Linked DNA regions of Oryctolagus cuniculus. The protein of the gene in region 1 interacts with the protein of each later gene in a biochemical or structural test. Links are inferred from orthologs where the notes say so. Each region holds a gene or a part of one and is shown on either strand. Other genes may lie near its edges.

Region 1 (4,040 bases):
CTCTGAGCTGGGCCTCCTGAGGTTTCTAGTCTTCAGGGGCTGCCTGTAATGATGATGTGCACATTTACAATCTTCCTCACAAGAAAACTCGGCTTTAGACCTTTCTAGGTATCTACTCACCATTTATCACAACACATGTGCCAACTGATTCCCATTTTCTCAGATGTCAAAAAAAAAAAAAAAAAAAAAAAAAGAAAAAAAGAGAAAAAGAAAAAAACAACCTAGGGCTTCAGCCTGGTCTAAGTCAGATACTTCTGAACTCAAATTTTCCCCTGGAATTCTACTTTCCTGGAGCGGGGCGCCGGGTGGGGTGGGAGGAGAGTGGGGGGAAATGAAAGAGAGAAAAAAAAATTCGTAGGTTGGTGTTGGTTGACGCCCCTTCTCATTTTGAAGCTGACTGATGTGCGTATTTTGGGGAGGGGGTTGAGGAGGCGCTCTAGGTCTAAGCATTTGTGAACCAGCTCACTCACTGGATAGGTCAACCACGGGGCTGCAGAAAGACTTGACAGGTTTGTTCTGGGCATACGGCCAAGGACTAGACCAGATAAGGCACTTGGCTGAGTCTACAGTAGGTGGGGCGTGCTCACCAGTGCAGGGGTAGCGACTCAAAAGTTTGTTGCAACACCTGCAATCCAAGCAGCAGGCGCAGCGGGAACGAGCCTTTGGCCCCGACAGCACGGAACCAGAGGGTTCACCCCAACCAACGAGGGAGATGCGCCAGATCCCTCGGGCCCGGCCCCTTTTCCCACGGTTGAGAACAAGCAGTGCTTGTCAATCCACAGCAGAGAGAGCTCACTCCGTGGGTAGCAGAAGGGTGAGAGCAGCGGTGCACGGGAGCGGGGGCACGTGCTTGGATGGGGGTGCCTGCCCAGCAGCTAGCCCAGACAGCGATCCTGTGGAGGCTCCACTGGCCATCCCCAACCCCGTCCCTCTGCAGCCTGGGAGGGTGTGGGGGTGCTGCCCGCGCCAGGCGGGAGCACCCCGAGCGTAGCTGGCGAAGCACTTGCCTCCGGAGCTACGCTTGGAGGAGTGGGAATTTGGAAAGTTCCCCAACTCGGAGCACACGTGACCCCTTCCTGAAAGTAGTTCCGACGGTGGCTCGGGTATCCTTCCACCCCCTTTTGAACCCTCCTAGGGCTCCTCGCCCCGCCCACTCGCGGGGCTGCCGCTTCCTACCGTCCTGAACGCCGCGCCCGGGCCGGCAACCTGGGCCTCCAGCGTGCACCGGCCGGCCCGGCGAGCGCGGAAGCTGGCCGCGGGCGATTCATCGTGCCAGGTTTTCTCAGCGGCCCGGAGAGTGGGCGGGGCGAGGCAGCCTCTGAGGACCGAGCTCGAGTTCGACGCCGCGAACGGACCCGGAGCCTGAGGGGACAGATGCTCAGCTCTCCGGGGGCCGCGGAGGGAGCTGTGGGGGTGCGTCCCGCTCACGGGGATCCTCTTTAAGGCGGCCTAGGCAGGAGGCCCTCGGGCCCTGGGAATTCGGGGCGGGGGGCGACGTGTGCACTCTAGCGCGCCCGGCTGAGAGCTTTCGCTTTTCGGGCAAATGAACCGAGTAGCTGGGGCAGCGAGAGGTGGGGCGGTGACTGGAGCCGGATGAGGCGAGACGCGCCGCCGGAGACACAATAGGGGGTCGTTCTTTGTGCTGAGGCTGACACCTTGAGGACCCGGGGGCGGCGGCGGCGGCGGCGGCGCGGGCGCTCTAGGCAGAGGCTGCGACAGTGAGATCCCTGCGAACCGCCGCGATCGTCCACAGCGGGACAAACGGAGTGCGTGCGTTCGCACGCCATGGCGGGGGAGGGGTGTCCTCGCGGCATTTCCCTAGATACTGACCCGCGCGGTCCACCTGTGCACAGGTAACCTCACACTGCAGTCGGCGACACCGCTCAACGCACCAGTCTCAGTTTTCATCATCCACCTTCCTCCGCCCCCACGCCGCCCCGCCGCAGTCTGCCCTGGCTCCGGCCGGGTGTCCGGGCAGAGGCCGAGGCTGAGCTCGTTCCCCCGCCCCGAGCTGCTGCAGGAGCAGCCGCGGCAAGTGCAGCTACGGGCGGGCGCCTCGGAACAAGCCCGAGCGAGCCCCAGGCAGTCACACTGGGCATGCTCAATAGCACCAGCAGGTTGGGGGCCCTGCGCTCGCACCTGGAGCTGCCGCCCCCGCCCCCCACCCCACCCCGGCGCGGCCCAGCCCTCCCCTCCCCCGGCGCGGTCCCGTCCGCCTCCAGCTCGCCCCCCGCCTCCCCTCGGGCTCCCGAGGCGGCCCGGCTCCCGGCGCGGCGGCGGCGGCGGAGGGGGCGGGCAGGCCGGCGACGGTGATGTGGCGGGACTCTTTGTGCACTGCGGCAGGATACGCGCCCGGGCGCTGGGACGCGGCTGCGCTCAGTTCTCTCCTCTCGGAAGCTGCAGCCATGATGGAAGTTTGAGAGTTGAGCCGCTGTGAGGCTAGGCCCGGCTCAGGCGAGGGAGATGAGAGACGGCGGCGGCCGCGGCCCAGAGCCCCTCTCAGCGCCTGTGAGCAGCCGCGGGGGCAGCGCCCTCCGGGAGCCGGCCGGCCTGCGGCGGCGGCAGCGGCGGCGTTTCTCGCCTCCTCTTCGTCTTCTCTTCTAACCGTGCAGCCTCTTCCTCGGCTTTTCTTGCGAGGGAAGGTGGAAGCCGTGGGCTCAGGCGGGAGCCGGCTGAGGCGCGGCGGCGGCGGCGGCGGCGGCGGCACCTCCCGCTCCTGGAGCGGGGGGGAGAAGCGGCGGCGGCGGCGGCGGCCGCGGCGGCTGCAGCTCCCGGGAGGGGTTCGGAGCCGCCTGTCACCATTTCCAGGGCTGGGAACGCCGGAGAGTTGGTCTCTCCCCTTCTACTGCCTCCAACACGGCGGCGGCGGCGGCGGCACATCCAGGGACCCGGGCCGGTTTTAAACCTTCCCTCCGCCGCCGCCGCACTCTCCCTGGCCCGGGCTCCGGAGGCCGCCGGAGGAGGCAGCCGTTCCGAGGATTATTCGTCTTCTCCCCATTCCGCTGCCGCCGCTGCCAGGCCTCTGGCTGCTGAGGAGAAGCAGGCCCAGTCGCTGCAACCATCCAGCAGCCGCCGCAGCAGCCATTACCCGGCTGCGGTCCAGAGCCAAGCGGCAGCAGAGCGAGGGGCATCAGCTACCGCCAAGTCCAGAGCCATTTCCATTCTACAGAAGAAGCCCCGCCACCAGCAGCTTCTGCCATCTCTCTCCTCCTTTTTCTTCAGCCACAGGCTCCCAGACATGACAGCCATCATCAAAGAGATCGTTAGCAGAAACAAAAGGAGATATCAAGAGGATGGATTCGACTTAGACTTGACCTGTATCCATTTCTGCAGCGGCAGCTCTCTGCCTTTCTGTCACTCGCATAACGTGGGAGTAGACGAGTGCGAAAATGTTCCGTAGTTTGGGGTAGCTGTAGCGTTGAGCCCTGGTCAGATTTCCAGAGCATGGATTTTTGTGTCTCTTTTCGGGTGTATTCCGCCCAGGGTGTGTTCAGCTAGACGGAACTCGTGCCTGGTTGCAAGTGTCAAGGCACTGATTGGTTTCGTAGTGCATGTATGTGGTCTCTTCCTAAGGGCCATTGTCCGTTAATGCCGAATACTGTACACTGTTGATGGATTAGTGGGCTCGATAATCCGGTCTTGTAGGTGAACGAAAAAGTAGACGCTTGGAGATTGAGCATATTTCGATTCAATCTTGTTAGGCCCTAGATCAAGGGTATAGATCAGATTAAAATGAAAATTAGTGTTCCGCGTCCGCATATTGCATCAGAATCGCGCAGTGATTTGTTTTTAGTTTCTAGGGTTGCATTGGTAGATTCTTTTAAAAATGTGAATTGTGGACTGATTGGTGTAAGTTTAGAAGCAAAACCATTTTCAGTATATGTGGTGTGTGTGGGGAGGGCAAAAGTAGGTTTGTATGTGTAAATGAAGTTAATTACAGCTTGCAACTGCACTTAGAAGTTTTGTAGTTTGAAATCAGTAGTGCCACAGTGCACCTTATAAGGTTCGATTCACTAAATCTTTGTTCAGTTAGCCGTTTT
Region 2 (3,271 bases), on another chromosome or scaffold:
GTCGTCATGGTAATGGGCGCCCGCGGGGGGCGGGGCGGGCGCCGCGGGCCTGTCTCACGGCCTCTCCGCGCCCCTCAGAACTGGGCTGGGATGCGGTGTCCCTACAAGCTGCTGCGGATGGTGCTGGCCCTGGTGTGCAGTGAGTAGGGGCGGGGCGGGCGGGGCGGGCCCGCGGGCGGGGCGCCGCCCACCTGCCGCCTCCCTCCGCAGTGAGCTCGGAGGTGGGCCGCGCCGTGTGGCTGCGCTTCTCGCCGCCGCTGCCCGCCTCGGGCCCGCAGCCCAGCTTCATGGCGCACCTGGCGGGCGCCGTGGTGGGCGTGAGCATGGGCCTCACCATCCTACGCAGCTACGAGGAGCGCCTGCGGGACCAGTGCGGCTGGTGGGTGGTCCTGCTGGCCTACGGCACCTTCCTGCTCTTCGCCGTCTTCTGGAACGTCTTTGCCTACGACCTGCTGGGCGCCCACGTCCCCCCGCCGCCCTGACCGCCTCCTGGGCACAGGGGAGGCCCTGCCCCCGCCCCGCCCCCGGGTCCGCGGTCCGCGCCTTTTGCAGAGTGAATAAATATTTTACACGGCACCAGGTGGCTGTCCGGGGTCTGGAGGCGTCTCTGCCCCCCGCTTCCCGCGGACCGTGCGGGGCCCTCCCATCTACGAAGGGACTGGGCTGCGGCCCCAGGGGACAGGCGGTGGGTGTCCTGGCCCACGAGTTCGGCCTGCACGCCGTGGGGGAGGGGGCCAGGCTGGGGCCGGTCAGGCACGGTGTCCCACCGCCCATGCCGAGGGGGCGGCGCCGGCGGGGTCGCTCCCACCTGTGCGGACGCTGCCTCACGGGCCGCACAGGGTGCCCGGGCGGCTGCGGCAGCTGAGGCCGTACTCAGCTGCGGGTCAGGGCGTCCTGGGTCGTCTCCGCCGGCGGGGCCCGCCCCCGGGGGCCCGCACGCGCTGCACGCCTCGGCCTCCCGCTGCCCCCATGCCGGGGGCGGGGCGTGCGCGGAGGGGCGGAGCCCGGCCGCAGGGAGGCGGTCCTTCGGAGGCTCCGCGCGGCGGGCCCCGCCCCCACCCCGCCGCAGCGCGCACGCGCGACCCCGCCCCCCGCGGCCGGAAGTTCCGGTGGCGGCGATCCGGGCCGGGCCGAGCGGGGCGCGGGCTGCGGGCGGCCGGGCGCGGAGCCCGCGAGCGGAGCCCAGGCCGTGCCGCGCGGCGCCATGAAGGGCAAGGAGGAGAAGGAGGGCGGCGCGCGGCTGGGCGGCGGCGGCAGCCCCGAGAAGAGCCCGAGCGCGCAGGAGCTCAAGGAGCAGGGCAACCGGCTCTTCGTGGGCCGCAAGTACCCGGAGGCGGCGGCCTGCTACGGCCGCGCCATCGTGAGTGCGCCGCGCCGGGGGCGGGCCTGGCGCCGGGGCGCGGCCCTTCGGGGCCCCCCGGCTTGGGGCGTTTGACTCGGCCCCGGCGGCGGCGGCCGCCCGGGTGCGGGTGCGGTGCGGGTGCGGCCCGCGCGCACGCCCACAGCGCGGCCGCCCGCTCTCCCCAGACGCGCAACCCGCTGGTGGCGGTGTACTACACCAACCGCGCCCTGTGCTACCTGAAGATGCAGCAGCACGAGCAGGCGCTGGCCGACTGCCGGCGCGCGCTGGAGCTGGACGGCCAGTCGGTGAAGGCGCACTTCTTCCTGGGCCAGTGCCAGCTGGAGCTGGAGAGCTACGACGAGGCCATCGCCAACCTGCAGCGAGGTGGGCGCGCGGCGCGGGGCGCGCGGCGCGGCTGCGGGCGGCCGGCCGGGCTGACCGCGCGCCCCGCGCCCGCAGCCTACAGCCTGGCCAAGGAGCAGCGGCTCAACTTCGGCGACGACATCCCCAGCGCGCTGCGCATCGCCAAGAAGAAGCGCTGGAACAGCCTGGAGGAGCGGCGCATCCACCAGGAGAGCGAGCTGCACGCCTACCTCGCCAGGCTCATCGCGGCCGAGCGCGAGAGGTGGGCCCCTCCGCGCGTTTATTGACAGCGGGGCGGGGCGGGGCGGGGCGGGGCGGGTCCTGACGCGCGGCCGCTCGCCCGCAGGGAGCTGGAGGAGTGCCAGCGGAGCCACGAGGGGGACGAGGACGACGGCCACGTCCGCGCCCAGCAGGCCTGCATTGAGGCCAAGCACGTGAGGGCGGCCCGGCCGGCGGGCGCGGGCCCCGGGGGCGGCGGGGGCGGCGGGGGCAGGCGGCGCTGGGCCGGGGGAGGGCCGTGTGCGGCCCCGGGGCAGCGCCCCCTCGCTTCTTCCAGGACAAGTACTTGGCGGACATGGACGAGCTCTTCTCGCAAGTGGACGAGAAGAGAAAGGTGAGCCTTGTCGGCGGGGCCCGTGGGCAGGTGCCGGCCGCCCGCCCACTGAGCGCGCCCTGTGTGCAGAGGCGCGACGTCCCCGACTATCTGTGCGGCAAGATCAGCTTCGAGCTGATGCGGGAGCCCTGCATCACCCCCAGCGGCATCACCTACGACCGCAAGGACATCGAGGAGCACCTGCAGGTGGGTGCGGCCGCGGCGGCCCGGCCGGGCGCCCCGCCCCGCCGCGCCGCTGACCCCGCTGTCCCCGCAGCGCGTGGGCCACTTTGACCCCGTGACCCGGAGCCCCCTGACCCAGGAGCAGCTCATCCCCAACCTGGCCATGAAGGAGGTCATCGACGCGTTCATCTCGGAGAACGGCTGGGTGGAGGACTACTGAGCCCCTGCAAGGCCCGCCCCCGCCCCCGCCCCGGCGCCGCCCCTGTCCTGCAATAAAGTCCGTGAGCACGAGCGCTAGCCCAGGAAGGTGGAGATGAACACGCACGTGTCCAGGTTGAGCGTGGCGTGCCACCAGCGGGCCGGGAAGTACAGCACCTGCGGGAGGGGCGCGGGCGTCAGCGGGGGGCCTCGCCTCCCCCGCCCCGGCCCCGGCCCCGGCCCCGGCCCGGACCTCGCCCGCGGAGATGGTGCACTCGAGCGGCCGCGCGGCCGGGGCCAGGCCTGGGTACGTGTCCCGGAGCCAGGCCAGCGTGGTCTCGTTGGGGTGGAACTGCGGCGTCTTCTCGGGCGGGTACAGGAACCAGCGCTGGGGGAGGGGAAGCGCACGCTCACCCCGGGTCCGCGGGTCCGCGCGCCCAGCCCCTGCCCACGGCACTGACCTTGCGGCCGTAGATGACCTCCGAATACCCGGGCCCGTGCCAGTGGAAGGGCACCCCGGTGCCCGCGCCTGTGGGTTTGGCGGGTGAGCAAAAAACCACACCCCCCTGCCCTGCCCCCGTCCCCGGCTCCCG
Region 3 (4,065 bases), on another chromosome or scaffold:
TTCACCCACGTGGGAGAAGAAGCTCCTGGCTCCTGGCTTCGGATCAGCACGGCTCCAGCCGTTGTGGCCGACTGGGGAGTGAACCAGCGGATGGAAGACTCACTCTGTCTCTGCTCTCTGTAACTCTTTCAAATAAATAAATCTTTTTAAGAGAAACTATTTAGTTATTTTTGTTTGACTCGTGATTCAAGGAAGACACACACAGACTGCCAAAACCATTTAATGAGTAAAGAAAAGTTTTGTAAACAAGCGGTGCTAGGACAAGTAGATAACCATATGGAAAAGAATGAGAAAGGACTTACTTCGTACTCATAAAAATTAACTCAAAATGAATCAAAGACTTAAAGTGCGCAAGAGCTAAAACTTAGAAAAAAACCTTGAATTTGACAATGGATTCTTAGATATGACACCAAAAGCAGGAGCCAAAAAAAAAAAAAAAAATACAAAAAAGATTAACTTTGTCAAAATTGAAGACTGTGTACCAAAGGGTCTTCTCAAGATAGCATAGGTAGGGGCTGGTGTTGTGGCATAGCAGATGTGTCAGCATCCCATAGGAGTGCCCATTTGAGCCCTGGCTGCCCCACTGCTAATGTCCTGGGAGAAGCAGCAGAACATGGCCCAAATGCTTGTGCCCCTTCCACCCTTGTACGAGACCCTGAGGAAATTCCTGGCTCCTGGGTTTGGCTTGGTCCAGCCCTGGCCACTGAAGCCACTTGGGGAGTGAATGAGTGGATAGAAGATCTCTGTTTCTTGAGTCTGTGTAAAAAAGAGAATAAAGATGACCCACCGAATGGGAGGAAAATTTGAAAACAGTGTATCTGAGAAGGATCTAGTACTCAGAACAACTCAGAACCCACCTTTAAAATGGGCAGAGAACTTTAATTAATTTATTTGAAAGCTAGAGTTCCAGAGAGCTCAGAGAGAGGTCTTCCATTCGCTGGTTCACTCCCCCATATGGCCACAACTGCAGAAGCTGTGCTGATTTGAAGCCAGGAGCGTCTTCTGGGCCTCCCACGTGGGTGCAGGGACTCGAGGACGTGGGCCATTTTCCACTGGTTTCCCAGGCCATAGCAGAGAGCTGAATCGGAAGTGGCGCACCTGGGTCTCGAACTTGAGTTAACATGGGATGCTGGCGCTTCAGGCCAGGGCGTCAACCCACTGCACCACAGCGTCGGCCTCAAGGCAGGGAACTTTGATTGGATGCTGGCGTCAGACTCCCGCTCTCGCCTGGCGCCTCATTGAAGCCTAAGTACGCCGGGAGGTGTGGCCTGCGGACGAATCACCGCCTACACCCAGAGGCATTTCGGGACTTGTAGTCACACGGACGCAGCGGCTGCGCAGCGGAGCCCCGCCTCCTGGGAGCGAGGACGCGGGAACGTGTGAGGTCACTTCCGGCGTGCCGGGTGGCTTCCTGCGGCGCTTTCTCCCTCACTCTCTTTTTGCTCCCTGCCCGCCGCCATCATGGGTCGCATGCACGCTCCCGGGTGAGTTCGGGGCGGCCGGCCGGATTGCGGGGCTGGGAGGCGAGGGAGAGGACGGGTGATGGTGTGGGCAGCTGACCGAGGGGCGGATGTTCTGAGCTGCTGGGGCACGAGCCACCATTTCACCCGACACTGCTTCTCTTCCTAGGAAGGGCCTGTCCCAGTCCGCTCTGCCCTATCGCCGCAGCGTGCCCACCGTAAGTAGCTCCCGGGGGCCGGGCCCGGGGCCTTGCGCGGCGTTGAGTCGGGAGGGGCTGCTGTGCCGGGACGCGGTCCCGGCCTTCCTGGCCTAACAGGCGCCTTCGCTCCCTTCTACAGTGGCTGAAGCTGACGTCCGACGACGTGAAGGAGCAGATTTACAAACTGGCCAAAAAGGGCCTGACTCCCTCGCAGATCGGTGAGTGCGTGCGTGCAGAGCGGCCCCTTCCGCTTGCTCGTGGGACCGTGGAGGCTGCACGCGCGCTTTGGGGGTGGGGTGCGGTTACTGTTGGGGACTGAGGTTTATTCGTCATTGCGCTCTCCGGCCCCTGGGTAGTAGGTGGTGAAATCGGGAAAATTCCCGACAGAGTCTATGGAGCATCCTCCTGGGTGCCCGATGGCGAGCGCTTTACAAGTTCTGACCGCCGCGAACTGAGGCCGCAGTACTGGTAGTTGTCCCCTAAGGCCCCTTACAGCCGATAGCCCCAGGGTATACAGCCGTGAAGGCGGGTGTCGGTGTTGACTCCAGAATGCTTGACACAAGAGAGCGCCCGCCGTGTGGCCCGTGCAGGTGGCTCCGTTCAGCCGAGGTTCGCCTGCTGCGTGGGGAACATGGCTTCTGGGCCCTTGGATGCCTGCCCTCTTAGAGTGTGGTGGAGGTGTGACACAAAGTACTAGATGATCCAGTAGTCAGGGACTCCCTTGAGGTCTAAAAGGACTAGCAGGGTATGGGAAGCTTTTAGAGAAGAGTGGGTATGAGTTCTCGGGTGTTAGCTGGTTTTAATCACAGGACAAAGACGTGCCAATGCAGGGACCCTGAGTGTTGTGGTCGGCTGTACTCAGCAAGCTCACCGTGATGATGGTCCTCCACCATTCGCAGTTTCCACCAGAAAGGTTTTCCTTAGTGTTGGGTAAACCTTCCTTGGATGTCTGAGTGAGCTCCTGGTACAGGTTTCTGTGGGGACCCCCCCCCCCCCCCCCAGCTTACAAGGGGAGCGAGTTGGTTTCAGAGCCCCGGCGCGCACATCACACGCCGCAGTGTGTTTGGTGCTGGAGTAGAATTCGAGGTCCCCCTTTCAGGTGTGATCCTGAGGGACTCCCACGGCGTGGCGCAGGTGCGCTTCGTGACCGGCAATAAAATCTTGAGGATCCTGAAGTCCAAAGGACTCGCTCCTGATCTTCCCGAGGACCTCTATCACTTAATTAAGAAAGCTGTTGCTGTTCGGAAACACCTGGAGAGGAACAGGAAGGTAAGGAGAGGATGGAAGTCGAACTGGAACTGCTTGGGGACTCGCCACAGTGCTTTCAGCAGCAGCGTTTTCTGTGGTGTCGCCTGTGCAGCTGGTTGTCAGTGTTGGGGAGGTGGGTGTTTGGCTTGCCAGCCATTGCTGTTAGTCTTTCCTAGAAGCCTTAAACTCCCTCAGTAGTCCAGTCTAGCCATTCTGTTCGAGAGCGTTGGGTAACTTCATTAGGAAAAGTGCTCTGTGATTCTGTTCCCTCGCTAGATGAATGTTTGCTAACCTGTTATTTTGAGTGGTTTTCTTAGAGTTGTTTCAAATTTTATTTTTAGGACAAAGATGCCAAATTCCGCCTGATTCTGATAGAGAGCCGAATTCACCGGTTGGCTCGATACTACAAAACCAAGCGGGTCCTCCCCCCCAATTGGAAATAGTAAGTATCTACCTTTCTGTTAATGGGAACGGGAATTAGCCAGATAGTAAGTATTAGCAGCAGAGAAATACTTGAGGCTCTTTGAGCTTGGCCGTGGTAATGGGAAAGCAGCCGTGGGTGGTACGTGAACAGACGGCCTGCCTGTGTCCCATGCCCAACACCGTGGTTTGTATTGTTTGGACTGCAGAAGCCCTGTCGCTTCTTCAGGGTAGTATGTCAGGGCTCGTTTCTCACCTCTGCTTCCAGATGTTAGCGCTGTTTTGATTTCTGCGTGAGGTGCTCTGATCACTGATACCCAGCCATGCACAGCTTTCACCAGAAATGTTTTTCCCAGAGTTGGCCGGTTCTTCCTCGGCTGGCCGAGTGAGCAGTGAGCAGTGTTGAGCTGATTGGGCAGCTCCATCACTTGGTGCCCTTCATATTGATTGACTTTAGCCATTTGGAAAGAGCTCCATTAGCAGGGGTGTGTGTGAATGGATATGGACGACCAGTATTAATCCCTATTTCCCCTTTTTTCCTTTTCAGTGAGTCATCCACAGCCTCTGCCCTGGTGGCATAAATTTGTTTATGCGCTCAAGCAATAAAATCATTGTTTAACTAAAAATGTGTTTTGTGGGTTTTTTTCCTAAAAAAAAAAAACTGTATCACTGATCCATATGTGATTGTTTCTGGTGGGGAGCAGTGAGAATCTTTCATCCCTGGACTGGCCCCTAAA

What was found.
Region 2: the proteins of PTEN (region 1) and STUB1 form a complex in vitro, tested with the Homo sapiens proteins (2 studies listed by BioGRID, with this or other methods). The link is inferred for Oryctolagus cuniculus from reciprocal best matches to the Homo sapiens genes PTEN and STUB1.
Region 3: the proteins of PTEN (region 1) and RPS13 form a complex in vitro, tested with the Homo sapiens proteins (2 studies listed by BioGRID). The link is inferred for Oryctolagus cuniculus from reciprocal best matches to the Homo sapiens genes PTEN and RPS13.

What each region holds. Positions count from the first base shown.
Region 1 is NC_091446.1:42,814,300-42,818,339, reverse strand, and holds the start of PTEN (phosphatidylinositol 3,4,5-trisphosphate 3-phosphatase and dual-specificity protein phosphatase PTEN), read left to right. Parts: upstream 1-1,240; 5' UTR 1,241-1,241; coding exon of another isoform or gene 1,242-1,268; 5' UTR 1,269-1,785; coding exon 1,786-1,853; intron 1,854-2,312; exon of another isoform or gene 2,313-3,222; coding exon 3,223-3,317; intron 3,318-3,480; exon of another isoform or gene 3,481-4,040. UniProt on the Homo sapiens protein: Dual-specificity protein phosphatase, dephosphorylating tyrosine-, serine- and threonine-phosphorylated proteins.
Region 2 is NC_091450.1:34,026,459-34,029,729, reverse strand, and holds STUB1 (E3 ubiquitin-protein ligase CHIP), read left to right. Parts: upstream 1-1,204; coding exon 1,205-1,360; intron 1,361-1,527; coding exon 1,528-1,726; intron 1,727-1,801; coding exon 1,802-1,967; exon of another isoform or gene 1,968-2,051; coding exon 2,052-2,139; exon of another isoform or gene 2,140-2,261; coding exon 2,262-2,504; exon of another isoform or gene 2,505-2,574; coding exon 2,575-2,700; 3' UTR 2,701-2,771; downstream 2,772-3,271. Other genes in the region: RHBDL1 (rhomboid-related protein 1), read left to right, coding at 1-9, 79-139, 211-865; JMJD8 (jmjC domain-containing protein 8), read right to left, coding at 2,775-2,855, 2,932-3,066, 3,140-3,207. UniProt on the Homo sapiens protein: E3 ubiquitin-protein ligase which targets misfolded chaperone substrates towards proteasomal degradation.
Region 3 is NC_091432.1:49,244,795-49,248,859, forward strand, and holds RPS13 (small ribosomal subunit protein uS15), read left to right. Parts: upstream 1-1,265; 5' UTR 1,266-1,461; coding exon 1,462-1,484; intron 1,485-1,629; coding exon 1,630-1,678; intron 1,679-1,799; coding exon 1,800-1,878; intron 1,879-2,527; exon of another isoform or gene 2,528-2,617; intron 2,618-2,759; coding exon 2,760-2,929; intron 2,930-3,249; coding exon 3,250-3,350; intron 3,351-3,875; coding exon 3,876-3,909; 3' UTR 3,910-3,954; downstream 3,955-4,065.